Linked DNA regions of Macaca fascicularis. The protein of the gene in region 1 purifies or fractionates together with the protein of each later gene. This does not show direct contact. Links are inferred from orthologs where the notes say so. Each region holds a gene or a part of one and is shown in the gene's direction. Other genes may lie near its edges.

Evidence for each region.
Region 2: the proteins of PARD3 (region 1) and RASSF8 purify together in Homo sapiens (affinity purification with mass spectrometry; 4 studies listed by BioGRID and IntAct, counting the BioPlex papers as one, with this or other methods). This does not show direct contact. The link is inferred for Macaca fascicularis from reciprocal best matches to the Homo sapiens genes PARD3 and RASSF8.
Region 3: the proteins of PARD3 (region 1) and PRKCI purify together in Homo sapiens (affinity purification with western blotting; 5 studies listed by BioGRID and IntAct, with this or other methods). This does not show direct contact. The link is inferred for Macaca fascicularis from reciprocal best matches to the Homo sapiens genes PARD3 and PRKCI.
Region 4: the proteins of PARD3 (region 1) and PARD6B purify together in Homo sapiens (affinity purification with mass spectrometry; 5 studies listed by BioGRID and IntAct, counting the BioPlex papers as one, with this or other methods). This does not show direct contact. The link is inferred for Macaca fascicularis from reciprocal best matches to the Homo sapiens genes PARD3 and PARD6B.

What each region holds. Positions count from the first base shown.
Region 1 is NC_088383.1:35,134,164-35,137,833, reverse strand, and holds part of PARD3 (partitioning defective 3 homolog), read left to right. Parts: intron 1-1,720; coding exon 1,721-1,846; intron 1,847-3,000; coding exon 3,001-3,383; intron 3,384-3,670. UniProt on the Homo sapiens protein: Adapter protein involved in asymmetrical cell division and cell polarization processes. Seems to play a central role in the formation of epithelial tight junctions. Targets the phosphatase PTEN to cell junctions.
Region 2 is NC_088385.1:28,797,133-28,800,802, forward strand, and holds part of RASSF8 (ras association domain-containing protein 8), read left to right. Parts: intron 1-3,379; coding exon 3,380-3,670.
Region 3 is NC_088376.1:81,805,499-81,809,168, forward strand, and holds part of PRKCI (protein kinase C iota type), read left to right. Parts: intron 1-202; coding exon 203-292; intron 293-1,912; coding exon 1,913-2,028; intron 2,029-3,670.
Region 4 is NC_088384.1:106,853,136-106,855,810, forward strand, and holds part of PARD6B (partitioning defective 6 homolog beta), read left to right. Parts: intron 1-813; coding exon 814-1,643; 3' UTR 1,644-2,675. UniProt on the Homo sapiens protein: Adapter protein involved in asymmetrical cell division and cell polarization processes. Probably involved in formation of epithelial tight junctions.

The sequences.
Region 1 (3,670 bases):
CTGAATCTAAATTCTGTTCACTTGTATTTTGTTTTGCAAAAAGCTTGTTAGAAATAGACTTGTTTGCCTCAGCTAAACTCAATCATGCCTTCATTCAGTTGTCATTTATCAAGACCTTACTACTAGTTCAGTGCTTGAACTGCTGAATCTTATGTTCTCTGCTAGGAGCTTACAATGCACTAGTAGAGATAAGGTATGTATATAACAGAAGAATATGATAAATGCCCATGGAACAGATACAACAATTACTGGAAAAGTATAGAAGCAGCAGCTATCTATTTTGGTATATTTCTACTGGAAAACATACACAGATGACTGCAAGTTGTAATTCTCTTGGAAATCATATAGATGTTATTTGAAAATTAGGATGTCTTCAATATTAATTTATGCAGAATTCTCAATTTTAGTGCCTGTCTAGGCATTTTTGTCTCTTTATTAGGATTATGAAGGAAAATACAAATTTTGGAAGTACAAAAAATAAGTTCATATAAAAATTTTAATATCATGATACAAAATTTATGCCAGCCACCAAGTAATTAACAGCAGTCAGGCCGGGTGCGGTGCCTCATGCCTGTAATCCCAGCACTTTGGGAGGCTGAGGTGGGTGGATTACCTGAGGTCAGGAGTTTGAGACCAGCCTGGCCAACATGGTGAAACCCCGGCTCTACTAAAAATACAAAAAAATTAGCCGGACGTGGTGGCGCATGCCTATGATCCCAGCTACTTGGGAGGCTGAGGCAGGAGAATCACTTGAACCCAGGAGGTGGAGGTTGCAGTGAGCCAAGACCATGCCATTGCACTACAGCCTGGATGACAAGAATGAAACTCCATCTCAAAAAAAAGTAAGAGTAAAAAAATAACAACAATCCGAGCTAGGTTAAGACCCCTGTTGCTTATACTGTGATTTAAAGAAGTATTTCCTATTTGTCCCAGTCTGTATTGAATGTCCTGTGAGTTATGAAGTTAGTGTTCTAGAGCAAGTAGGGAGTCTCTCAAAGGTCATTCACACTTTTCTTTCAACCTGAGTGAGTACATATATGAAAGAGATGAATGGCGATTGGCATTATTTGAACCTCTCACTGCTGTTTTTCTGTTTGGTCATTTGTTTTTCCAAATGGGAATATTGACAATAAATGACTTACTTTTAGGAGACCTAACAGGTTTTGAAATTCACAATACTAAGCACTATCAAATTCAAATGCAAAGCACAGAAACTCTTTTATTTCTGAAATCTTTCCTATTATCATTCTCAAACCTGCAGTGCAATGAGGTTAGCTTTTCCTCATTACCTTTATTTTCACAGAAAGATGGGGGTTGCAGTCGTTTTTTAAGCTAGCATACCAGCTGGCTTAAAACAGAAAATTGCCCAAGTCATTCAAAAATACATGCTTATCCATGCTCCACACTGCAATACCCACTCAACCATTAGGCGAGCTCTGTTTGGGGCATTTGTAAACAGAGAGAGTGTTATAGCTTGTTCTCGAAACATAATACTGACCAGCCAGAAAATGATTTTTCGCATTTATGGAAGGGATGCATTTTTACATATCATTTAAACTGTTGTGATTTTTGTCTGTTATTTAAAAATGTATGAATAGTGATTTTGACATGCTTCTTTGTAAGGAAGTCTTTGTAAATATAATATCAGCATTAAAGTGGTAGGGCAGTGTGCATGGTGGAGATATTACATGTGTAATCATTTGCATTCTTAATGTTCCAGAACCCTGGGGTTATTAGTAAAACGATTGGAGAAAGGTGGTAAAGCTGAACATGAAAATCTTTTTCATGAGAATGATTGCATTGTCAGGATTAATGATGGCGACCTTCGAAATAGAAGATTTGAACAGTAAGTGTGTGCTCGCTGCATTTCTCTTCTTACTTGCATTAGGCATGACAGAGTGCAGTCAGTTGAAATGCTTCAAACAACATATCTGTGATCTCAGTCTGTATACTAGACAGGAATATTTTCTGCCATTAGCTTTTAAAAATTTAATCATACTCAAAGTAATTAATACCATTAGACTATATTTCAAAATGTCCTCTGATGGATATAGCTCTTCTTAAGTAGCATAGCCCCCGTTTCAGCTTTACAGTTTTGCTGGTTCCTCCCCTTTTGGAAAATTGACAGTGTGCCCATTTTTATCATACTTTAATTCACCCATCCACCTTTGCTGCACACAATTTCTCTAGATACAAACAGGCAGATAAAGCTCGTTTGCACCTCAATATTGGGTTGTATTCAGATATACTTTATCTTGATTCAGGCCCTTAGTCAATGAAAAACATAAAAGTTGGCCAGTTCTTATAAAACAAGGCAGGAGCAAACAGAACTCTTAAGAACTTGGGGTCCTGACCAGGGAACCAGCATGAGAAAGAGCTGCTTCCCAGGCTGGTCATATGGTTGCACTGTGACCCACAGCTGTCAGCATTTTGAATTATTGAGCCTGGATTGCTGTTCTTGAGATTTTTGCATATATCAACTTAATAGATAATTAATAGTTACTTTCTATAGCCTTCTAAGTGTGCGTGTGTGTATTTTAAAAATTTTAAATACACATCTAACCCAATCCAAGATTCTATATATAATTATAAAGCTCTTTCTTTGAAAACTTAAATGGAAATATTTTGTAATGTCTACAAGTTGTATTAGACAATGTTGTAAAGAGAAGGTTCCATTTGGTTTCTATTATTGAAATTATAATACCTCTATTGTACTTAAAACATGTTTAATGATTTACAATTGAGAGAACAGAATTTTTTCTGTAGTTGTAGATAATTTTTTTATTTTTATTGAGAGAAAGAGAAATTTATATTTGAAGAAACAGCTATTCGTAGATCAGAGCTACAAACTTGATTGATAAATGGGTTATTAGAATTTTGCTTTTCAATTTCAACAGCCTGTCAGTTCTTATTGCTTAATTAGTATACTTAATTAAGCTCATAATATCTTCTAGTCTGCCAGTCTTAATTTGCTAATTTTCTATTCTTTCTCAAACCCAGAGCACAACATATGTTTCGCCAAGCCATGCGTACACCCATCATTTGGTTCCATGTGGTTCCTGCAGCAAATAAAGAACAGTATGAACAACTATCTCAAAGTGAGAAGAACAATTACTATTCAAGCCGTTTTAGCCCTGACAGCCAGTATATTGACAACAGGAGTGTGAACAGTGCAGGGCTTCACACGGTGCAGAGAGCACCCCGACTGAACCACCCGCCTGAGCAGATAGACTCTCACTCACGACTACCTCATAGCGCACACCCCTCGGGAAAACCACCATCCGCTCCAGCCTCGGCACCTCAGAATGTATTTAGTGCGACTGTAAGCAGTGGTTATAACACCAAAAAAATAGGCAAGAGGCTTAATATCCAGCTTAAGAAAGGTATAACCTATCTTGTTTTTGTTTTGTGGAATTTCTTTTCTTAGTAGCAACACACAAGGGTTGAAATGGAATTTATTTTAAAAGTCAACCTACTAACCCAAAGCACCCTAAGTCTTATCTCATTATTTTGTGAAAGAATTGATAGATTTTTAAAAGCTACTTACCTTTTAACACGTTTAAAATTGTATTTCTTATATGTCTCAGGTTTATTTTGCTCTGTAGAAATTAAAATGTAAAAGTGCAGAGAATAAGACTTTAAAATATGTCTATGAGAAGAAGATAGCAGC
Region 2 (3,670 bases), on another chromosome or scaffold:
TGAGCTGAGATCTGGCCACTGCACTCCAGCCTGGGTGACAGAGCGAGACTCCGTCTCAAAAAAAAAAAAAAAAAAAATGGTTGAATTCAGGGCATAAATTTCTGAGTGACCCTTGTTTGAGTTTTGGTGTGTATTTTCAACAATGTTATGTTACTTCATAGTTGTGTATTCTGCTTTCTTAAGTGAAAGTAAGCTGTTATCCTGTTTTCTTTTAATTTATGTCAATCATTCAGTAAGATTTCATTAATGCATTAAAATCTGTATGTGAGTTTCTTCAGTATATAAATTTAATGATTCTTGGGATTAGTCTCAGTCGCTTCAGTATTTAAAAGTATAATTAATATTTTTTTACCCCATGTTGGATCAAAATTACTTGACAGTGTCACACAGTCCTACAATGCAAATACAGCTTAAACTACAAATGCCATAGATAGATAGACAGATAGATATTCCTTTTTATTCATTTTAAGATTACATCAAAATAGTACACAAGGTATAACTAAATGTATCCATGTGGTCAAATACACTAAAAGGAGTTTTGCAGGAGGAATCAGAATCTGTGTAAATGAAGGAAATAGAGTTTGTAGAGCACTGCCAAGTTATGGGTATTAAAAACAGTGATTATGGAATTTAATTCCTATATAAAATATTTAAAACCCAATTTATATAATAAAATCAAATCTATTCATTTACCTTTTTTTAAAAAAAAAGCTTTTTTATACTGCTGGATGGAATTTTTGGCCCAGTAGTACTAAATGTGCATTATTTAGCAAAAGCAAATACTGGCAGTAAAAGCAATTATAAATAATCTTCTACTAAGACAATCTCAGAGGGTAGCAGTACCAGTAAGCTCTGGAAAATTAGATTTATTTTTAATTATGAATAAATTAGGATCTTTAAAATTTTTTGTTTAGTTCATATAATGTGATGATTCAGTTTTCCTTTTAAAGATACTTCACTGGGCTGATAGAATTGGAAAGAACTCTGCTGGTTTATCTAACCCCTCCTGTTAATGAAGGAGGACACAGAGGTTCAGAGAAGAGTAAGATTCCTAAAAGTAGTTGATAGGCAGAGTGTTGTGACCTTTGAAGCAGTTTGTACACATGGGACAGTTTTAATATTGCAGATGTGTCGTGTGGTTTTTCTTTGGGAGCAATTAGAGTAATTTTTAACTGAAAATTATTGGAAACATTTTTTTATTTCAAGAAGCTAATCTATTGTGCTAAGGTTTTCCTTTACATCCCCTTTATTAGCCTGGGCATTTTGATAAACAAATAATATTATCTAGCACTTTTCAATTTCACAAACATTTTTATATTTTACATTCTCACGTGACTCTCAGAACAACCTTGTCAGATAAGGAAATACTACTCTTATTCCACAGATGAGGAGACTGAGGCTAAAGGAAATTTAATTGTTCAGATCATGTAAGCACAGTAGGAAGCAGAGCCACATTTGAACCCAAACCTTTCTACTCCAGAACCCTTGTCCCATCTACTGTGTCTAGCTTTACATGGTTGGAAGAGTTGCTTTTTAAAAGTCAGGTTGTTGGGCAAGGGAGGGGAAAAGAAAAAAAAATAAATAAATGGATAAATAAATAAATAAATAAGAGATTATTGTGATGGCACATCACTATTTAAAGGAATTCTGTGGTCAACCCTTTTGTTACAGGAAAAATGTCTTAATAGCTACCACGTGTTGAATGCCGGCTGTGGGCCAGGCAGTGTGGTAGGTGCTAACCCTCAGAATCTGCGAAGCATTTTAGAAGGGAAGTTGTGCTGCTTATCTAGTAAGGAACTCACGTAGGATTATTTGCCTTCAAAGCCCCAACTTCCAGCTGCACCCCAAATTCAGGTCTCCCTAAAGGAGAACACACCCATATGCTTATAGCGAAATCATTGTTTAATGTGCTACTTATGAATTGCATACATGGGTGTTGATATTTATACATCTAGATTTCCATTTATTGATGCAGTAATTGCAAAAATACTACTATTGGCTCAGAAGCTCATGAAATTTAAAAAAGAAAGCCAGGAAGGTAAATCAATAGCTGTTTATACAAGTATAATTGCTGGATGGCAGCGTTGGTTTTTTTTTTTTTCTTTGTAATTAACTATGTACGCTTTTCACAAAATTTAAATAATCCATCTGACCCACTCACCTTAAATGAAAATAAGAAGCATGTTCAAGCTTATGGCATTACACTCATACTCTTCTGAAACTTCATCTTTCATAATTATTAGATTCAGTATATTTTTCAATTTATATGTGATTGTATTCTGTTTTTGTTTTGTGTTGACAGAGTCTTACTCTGTCGCCCAGGCTGGAGGTCAGTGACACTATACAGCTCACTGAAGCCTTGACCTCCCAGGATCAGGCGATTCTCCCATTTCACCCTCTCAGGTAGCTAGGACTACAGACGCACAGCACCATGCCCAGCTAATTTTTTCATATTTTATTTGTAGAGATAGGGTTTCACCATGTTGCCCAGGCTGGTCTCGAACTCCTGGGCTCAAGAAATCTGCCCACCTTTGCCTCCCAAAATGCTGGTATTACAGGCGTGAGCCACTGCACCCAGCCTGCTGGTTGGTTTTTAATAATATTTTGCTCTGAGTTTTTTTTTTTTTTTTTTAGAAGAATCTTTGATACTATCATATTACCAAAACTGAACAAGTCTTCTTTTCAGGCCCCTGTTTTTATATGAATTTGGTTTGAAGAGTTTTTTCATCAAACTGATTTTTTATTTGTCATGGGTGTCCAGGAAGATGTCAGCTGTGTGAGCAACGGGTTGGTAGAGCACTCAGGTGGAGATGGAGAGGAGACCTGGGCAGCTCCTGTGGCTGAGTCACAGATTCTCCACTGGTCCCCATGTCTCCTTTGAGGAGGAGAAATAGGGCCTCCAGCCCTCCCAAGTTCTGAGGTAGAAAAATTCAAGGGATTTGCACAGTGGGAATGTATTTGAGTTTTGAAGTTCCACCTCGTTCCTGGACTAGCCCCTCATGCTTCACATGGCGATTCTATTGTCCTTTGTTTCAGCTAGAAAATAAACTTTGTTCAGTCTCGCCCCAAATGAGAAGTTCTAGGCAGTCAGGTATTTGGCAAGAGTGTAAGGGTCTCACCCAGGTTTAAAGTATAAAGTTGAATTTCTAAGCAAGCCTGAAGAGTATGTGCAATACACATCTTCTGATTTTATGTTGTTGCATGTCGTGAGGGGTTTGGTGTCTTCAAGTAAAGGTTTTAAAGGCAACCTGGACTAGACTCTAAAACTTGACCCTCTGATGCTAATCAAAAATACGCAATCATCAAATGGCATTCTTACTCTATTTTTAAACTATTACATATCCCATTTTGACAACTTATTCTTACCTTTTTTACATAGGTCGAACTGGAAGGTACACCCTTATAGAGAAATGGAGAGATACCGAAAGACACTTAGCACCTCATGAAAATCCTATCATATCCTTAAACAAATGGGGGCAGTATGCTAGTGATGTGCAGCTCATTCTACGGCGAACCGGGCCGTCGCTCAGTGAGCGACCCACTTCAGACAGTGTGGCTCGAATTCCTGAAAGAACTTTATACAGGCAGAGTCTGCCCCCCTTAGCTAAACTGAGGCCTCAGATCGACAAATCAATCAAAAGGAGAGAACCGAAAAGGAAATCACTGACAT
Region 3 (3,670 bases), on another chromosome or scaffold:
AAGTGCCACAAAGAAATCTTACCTATCACAAGCTTCAGATAATTCAATTTGTTCTGGAGTTGTACTTTCTAGAAATAAAAGGTAGACCATTCCAACTTCAGAAATAAGACTATCATGTGAGAGCACAAAATACAGATCACAAAGATGATTTATTTTAAAGCACGACATTCACCCAATTCTTGAAACATTTCTTTCACCATAGGACCCTAAGGAACGATTGGGTTGTCATCCTCAAACAGGATTTGCTGATATTCAGGGACACCCGTTCTTCCGAAATGTTGATTGGGATATGGTATGTAAATTTTGATTACTTTCTCTATTAGGTTTCATTATTATCTTCAGCCAAATCTTTTTTTTTTTTTTTTTTTAGGACAGAGTCTTGCTCTGTCACCCAGGCTGGCATGCAGTGGCACGATCTCGGCTCACTGCAACCTCTATCTCCCGGGTTCAAGCAGTTCTCCTGTCTCCGCCTCCCAAGTAGCTGGAATTACAGGCACGCACCACCACACCCGGCTAATTTTTGTATTTTTAGTAGAGATGGGGGGGTTTCACGATGTCGGCCAGGCTGGTCTCGAACTCCTGACATCAGGTGATCCACCCACCTTGGCCTCCCAAAGTGCTGGGATTACAGGTGTGAGCCACCGCACCTGGCCTATCTTGGGCCAAATTTTATTGTCTTAGCTAACATATCACAGCTTTAAAAACTTAAAACCACTTTCTAAACTGCTTTTTAGAAAACTTTTTAAACAAAAAAAATCCTTTTTTTAAAAATGTATTGTTTTTTCTGAGATGGAGTCACATTCTATTGCCCAGGTTGGAGCGCGATGGTGTGATCTCTGCTCACTGCAACCTCCGCCTCCTGGGTTCACGCAATTCTGCCTCAGCCTCCTAAGTAGCTGGGATTACAGGCACATGCCACCATGCCCAGCTAATTTTTATATTTTTAGTGGAGACAACGTTTCATCATGTTGGCCAGGCTGGTCTTGAACTCCAGACCTCAAGTGATCCACCTGCCTCAGCCTCCCAAAGTGTTGGGATTCCAGGGGTGAGCCACCGTGCCCAGCCAAAAAATTGAATATTAATGTAATAAAGCAGGTTATAATGTTATTGAAGCCCATATCAATGTTTATACTTGTTTTTGTTTGTTTGTTTGTTTGTTTGTTTTTTTAAGAGAAACAGTCTCACTCCATCGCCCAGGCTGTACTGTAGCTCACGACAGCCTTGATTGAACTCCTAGACTCAAGAGATCCTCCTGTGTTAACCTCTCAAGTAGCTGGGACTATAGGCATAAGCCATGGTACCCAGCTAATTTTCAATTTTTTTTTTTGGTTTGTTTTTTTTGAGGTGGAATCTTGCTCTGTCTCCCAGGCTGGAGTGTTGTGGCACAATCTCGGCTCACTGCAACCTTCGCCACCTAGGTTCAAGCAATTCTCCTGTCTCAGCCTCCAGAGTAGCTGGGATTATAGGTGCACGCCACCACGCCTGGCTAATTTCTGTATTTTTAGTAGAGACAGGGTTTTGCTATGTTGGCCAGACTGGTCTTGAATCCCTGACCTCAGGTGATTTACGCACCTTGGCCTCCCAAAGTGATGGGATTACAGGCATGAACTGCTGTGCCCAGCCAATTTTTAATTTTTTAATAGAGATGGGGTCTTGCTATATTGTCCGGGCTGGTCTTGAACTCCTGGCCTCAAGTGGTCCTCCCATCTCAACCTACCAAGCAGTTGGGATTATAGGCATGAGCCACCATGCCCAGCTCATATTTGTAAATTATGTTCATCATTGCTAATATCATTGTACCGTGCTTCAGGACTCACTTTAATAAGGGAAACAATGAGTGCAGAGGAGAACTGTAGAGGTGCAATTTTTCTAATAATACAGACTTGAGCTGTCATCCAATATGTCTTTTCAGATGGAGCAAAAACAGGTGGTACCTCCCTTTAAACCAAATATTTCTGGGGAATTTGGTTTGGACAACTTTGATTCTCAGTTTACCAATGAACCTGTCCAGCTCACTCCAGATGACGAGTAAGTAATTCTGTACACTGAAATTTTTTTTTAAGTTTTTTGGAAATCCCATTTTTAGTGACTATGCAATGTTTCATGATCAGATTATACTATTAATTTTTTTATTTTTTATTTTATTTCATTTTATTTTATTTTTGAGACAGAGTCTCGCTCTGTCTCCCAGGCTGGAGTGCAGTGGTGCAATCTTGGCTCACTGCAACCTCTGCCTCCCAGGTTCAAGTGATTCTCCTGCCTCAGCCACCCTGAGTAGCTGGGACTACAGGCTCATGCCACGACACCCAGCTAATTTTTATATTTTTAGTAAGGACGGCGTTTGCCATGTTGGCCAGGCTGATCCTGAACTCCTGACCTCAGGTGATCCACCCACCTTGGCCTCTTAAAGTGCTGGGATTACAGGCGTGAGCCACTGCGCCCGGCCTATACTATAATTTATATAACCATTCAGTTACTGGTATTTGAATCCACTGTACTATTATAAGTTTTAATAGTAACTGTCATTTTCTCCTTTGCTTTATCGTGCATTATCTCATTTTCACAACAACTTTGTAAACTAGTTAAATTGTCATCTTCATTTTACAGATGAGGAAACTGAGGCTCAGAGAGGTTAAGCAAAGTTACACAGCTATCAGGTGGTAGAGTCAGGATTCAAACCCAAATCTCTCTGTCCTGCTGCACTGTTTCCCATTTGACAAGGACTGTCTTTGTCTGTCTAAGTTCCTGAGTATTGCCTTAAGATAGATTCTTAGAAAGGGAATTAGGTCAGAGGGTATTAACATTTTAAAGCTCTTGATATGTATTGCCAAATTGCTTTTTTTAAGGAATTACATTGAGTTATTAAATCCAGCCAGCAGTGAGCTGATATATTTTTTTGTACTTATACTGCATCTTTTAAAAATATACCTTAAAATAATTGGGGGATATTTTGATTATTTACCTGTTGTTACAGATTCATTCTCTCTAATCTCAAGGAGGCCCTTATTGTTTGGCAGTCATTTTACTTCTATCTTATTTCTTACCACATTTCTCCCAGCACCTGCTCCAAACAGTCTCTTCATTTCAGAAGCCTTCAGTTCTACTCCTTTTTCCATCACTGTTAAAGGATTAACCTTGTCTTATTTTGATGCAAGGACTGATAACCTCTCTGGCGTGACCTTGCCTCCTTTCCAGCTGTCACCAGACCACCTTGCATCTCAGAATTGCTTTCTAATTCTTTTCAACATTTTCTTATTCCCTACTCTTGGAAGGCTCTCCTTTACAAGGAGCGTCCCTCCTATTTTCCTAGACCTGTTTCTGTAGTTTTCTCCAATATTTCATTTTGTCAGTTATCTTGTTATTGGACCTTCTTAGATTTATTTTTTTCTAGCTTGCTTCCCTCTGTGTAAGCATGCTCAGATTCTCTGATTTTTTCCCCCTAACTCATAGTCCCTCTTTGAACAACCACATTTTTCCTCATTTTCATTTCGTCTTGAAGCCTCAAAAAAAAAAAAAAACAAAAAAAAAAAAGTCAATAGATGTTCATGGTCAAAGAAAAATAAATATGCAGCACCTCTAATCTAACTTCTTCAGACTAGTCAACGTTGATTGTCTTGAATTTTTTTTTTTTCTGTCAACACTTCAACCCCTTACAACTGAGCCTGTCCTC
Region 4 (2,675 bases), on another chromosome or scaffold:
AAAAAAAAAAAAAAAAAAACTGGTTTAAAATCATGTTTTAAGGCCAGACACAGTAGCTCTCACCTGTACTCCTAGCACATTGAGAGGCCGAGGCAAGAGGATCTCCTGAGGCCAGGAGTTCAAAACCAGCCTGGGCAACACAGCAAGACCCTATTTTAAAAAAAGGAAAAATACATATATATTTAATGATGTTTAAGAATATGTAAGATCTGGCTAGGTGCGGTGGCTCACGCCTGTAATTCCAGCACTTCGGGAGGCCGAGGTGGGCGGATCACGAGGTCAGGAGATCGAGACCATCCTGGCTAACACGGTGAAACCCTGTCTGTACTAAAAATACAAAAAAAATTAGCCAGGCCTGGTAACACACACCTGTAGTTCCAGCTACTCGGGAGGGTGAGGCAGGAGAATTGCTTGAACCCAGGAGGCAGAGGTTGCTGTGAGCCAAGGTCACGCCACTGCAGTCAGCCTGGGCGACAGAGCGAGACCATCTCAAAGAAAAAAAAAAAGAATACGTAAGATCTATCATAATTTCATTTGCCATATTTAATGTTTAATAGTGATTGAGCTCTATCAAATTTAACTTCAACATTGGTTTATTTTGTGATGTGTATTTGAGATGGCCACCTAGTGGTTTTTTCTGGTATGGCATTTTACTACTGTACTAGATTATGATCTGATTAGCAAATAAGCTTATTAGCTAGTTTGTTTATATACCAAATATATTTTGAGTTATCCTTTCTGTACAGATTCTGCCGCAAGTGAATAGATATTTTTACAGCATTTCTATAATTATTTTGTTTTATTTTTAAACAGAAGAAGCAGACTACAGTGCCTTTGGTACAGACACGCTAATAAAGAAGAAGAATGTTTTAACCAACGTATTGCGTCCTGACAACCATAGAAAAAAGCCACATATAGTCATTAGTATGCCCCAAGACTTTAGACCTGTGTCTTCTATTATAGACGTGGATATTCTTCCAGAAACACATCGTAGGGTACGTCTTTACAAATATGGCACTGAGAAACCCCTAGGATTCTACATCCGGGATGGCTCCAGTGTCAGGGTAACACCACATGGCTTGGAAAAGGTTCCAGGGATCTTTATATCCAGGCTTGTCCCAGGAGGTCTGGCTCAAAGTACAGGACTATTAGCTGTTAATGATGAAGTTTTAGAAGTTAATGGCATAGAAGTTTCAGGGAAGAGCCTTGATCAAGTAACAGACATGATGATTGCAAATAGCCGTAACCTCATCATAACAGTGAGACCGGCAAACCAGAGGAATAATGTTGTGAGGAACAGTCGGACTTCTGGCAGTTCTGGCCAGTCTACCGATAATAGCCTTCTTGGCTCCCCACAGCACATTGAACCAAGCTGTGAGCCAGAGGATGAAGACAGCGATGAAGATGACATTATCATTGAAGACAATGGAGTGCCACAGCAGATTCCAAAAGCTGTTCCTAATACCGAGAGCCTGGAGTCATTAACACAGATAGAGCTAAGCTTTGAGTCTGGACAGAATGGCTTTATTCCCTCTAATGAAGTGAGCTTAGCACCCATAGCAAGTGGCTCAAACACGGAATTTGAAACACATGCTCCAGATCAAAAACTCTTAGAAGAAGATGGAACAATCATAACATTATGAAACCATTGTTTGAATGTTTTCAGAGTGAGGATGCCATGAGAACTTGTACATTTGGCTAGTTTAAAAGCATATATACCTCTGACCAGTGACGTGGAATAGGCATGAGACGAGTAACGTTGCAAGCTTACAATATTATTAAAGTAGTAGTCTGATAATTGTTAATATAAACTTTGGTGGATCAGAGGTGAATTTAAGTCCAAAACAAAGGGGCCTTTGCTGATGAAGTTACGTGCTTTTACTTTTTTGTCTGTGGAGAATCAGATGTTAAAGCACATTCTTGGAACTATGCGAGAAGACTAGATCATTTCTGTTGGAAGTGGTTGCATATTTAACCTGCTGTGCAGAGCCCAGTTAATTTTTCCTTTAACTGTATTTTTAAAATTCTAATGTGAAGTCTGATTCTCTCTTTTGGTACACTGGGGACCTCAGCTCTTAAAGGTCTTATGTTCCCAATATTTTATTTTATTTTTTATTTTTTATTTTTTTAGTGACTGGATCTCACTCTGTTGCCCAAGCTGGAGTGCAGTGGCATGATCACAGCTCACTGCAGCCTCAACCTCCTGGGCTCAAGCAATCCTCCCACTTCAGCCTCCTGAGTAGCTGGGACCACAGGCACGTACCATGACACCTGGCTACTTTTTGTATTTTTTGTAGAGACAGAGTTTTGCCATGTTGCCCAAGCTGGTCTTGAACTCCTGGGCTCAAGCAGTCCTGCCTCGGCTTCCCAAAGTGCTAGGATTACAGCCACCATGCCAAGCCTATTTTGATTTTTGTTTTTTTAATGTTCCTCTCTAATAAATTGTAACAAATGATGTTCTCAAGTGCATTTCCAGTTTCTAAGAATCAAACCACGTGGCTGTTTTTAGGAGTTGCTTCCCATGTTATAAAGCTCAGGAAGCTCTCTTTTTTTTTTTTTTTTGTCTCTGTCGCCCAGGCTGGAGTGCAGTGGTGCAATCTCAGCTCCCAGATTCAAGCAGTTCTTCTGCCTCAGCCTCCTGAGTAACTGAGATTACAGGTGTGTGCCAACACGTC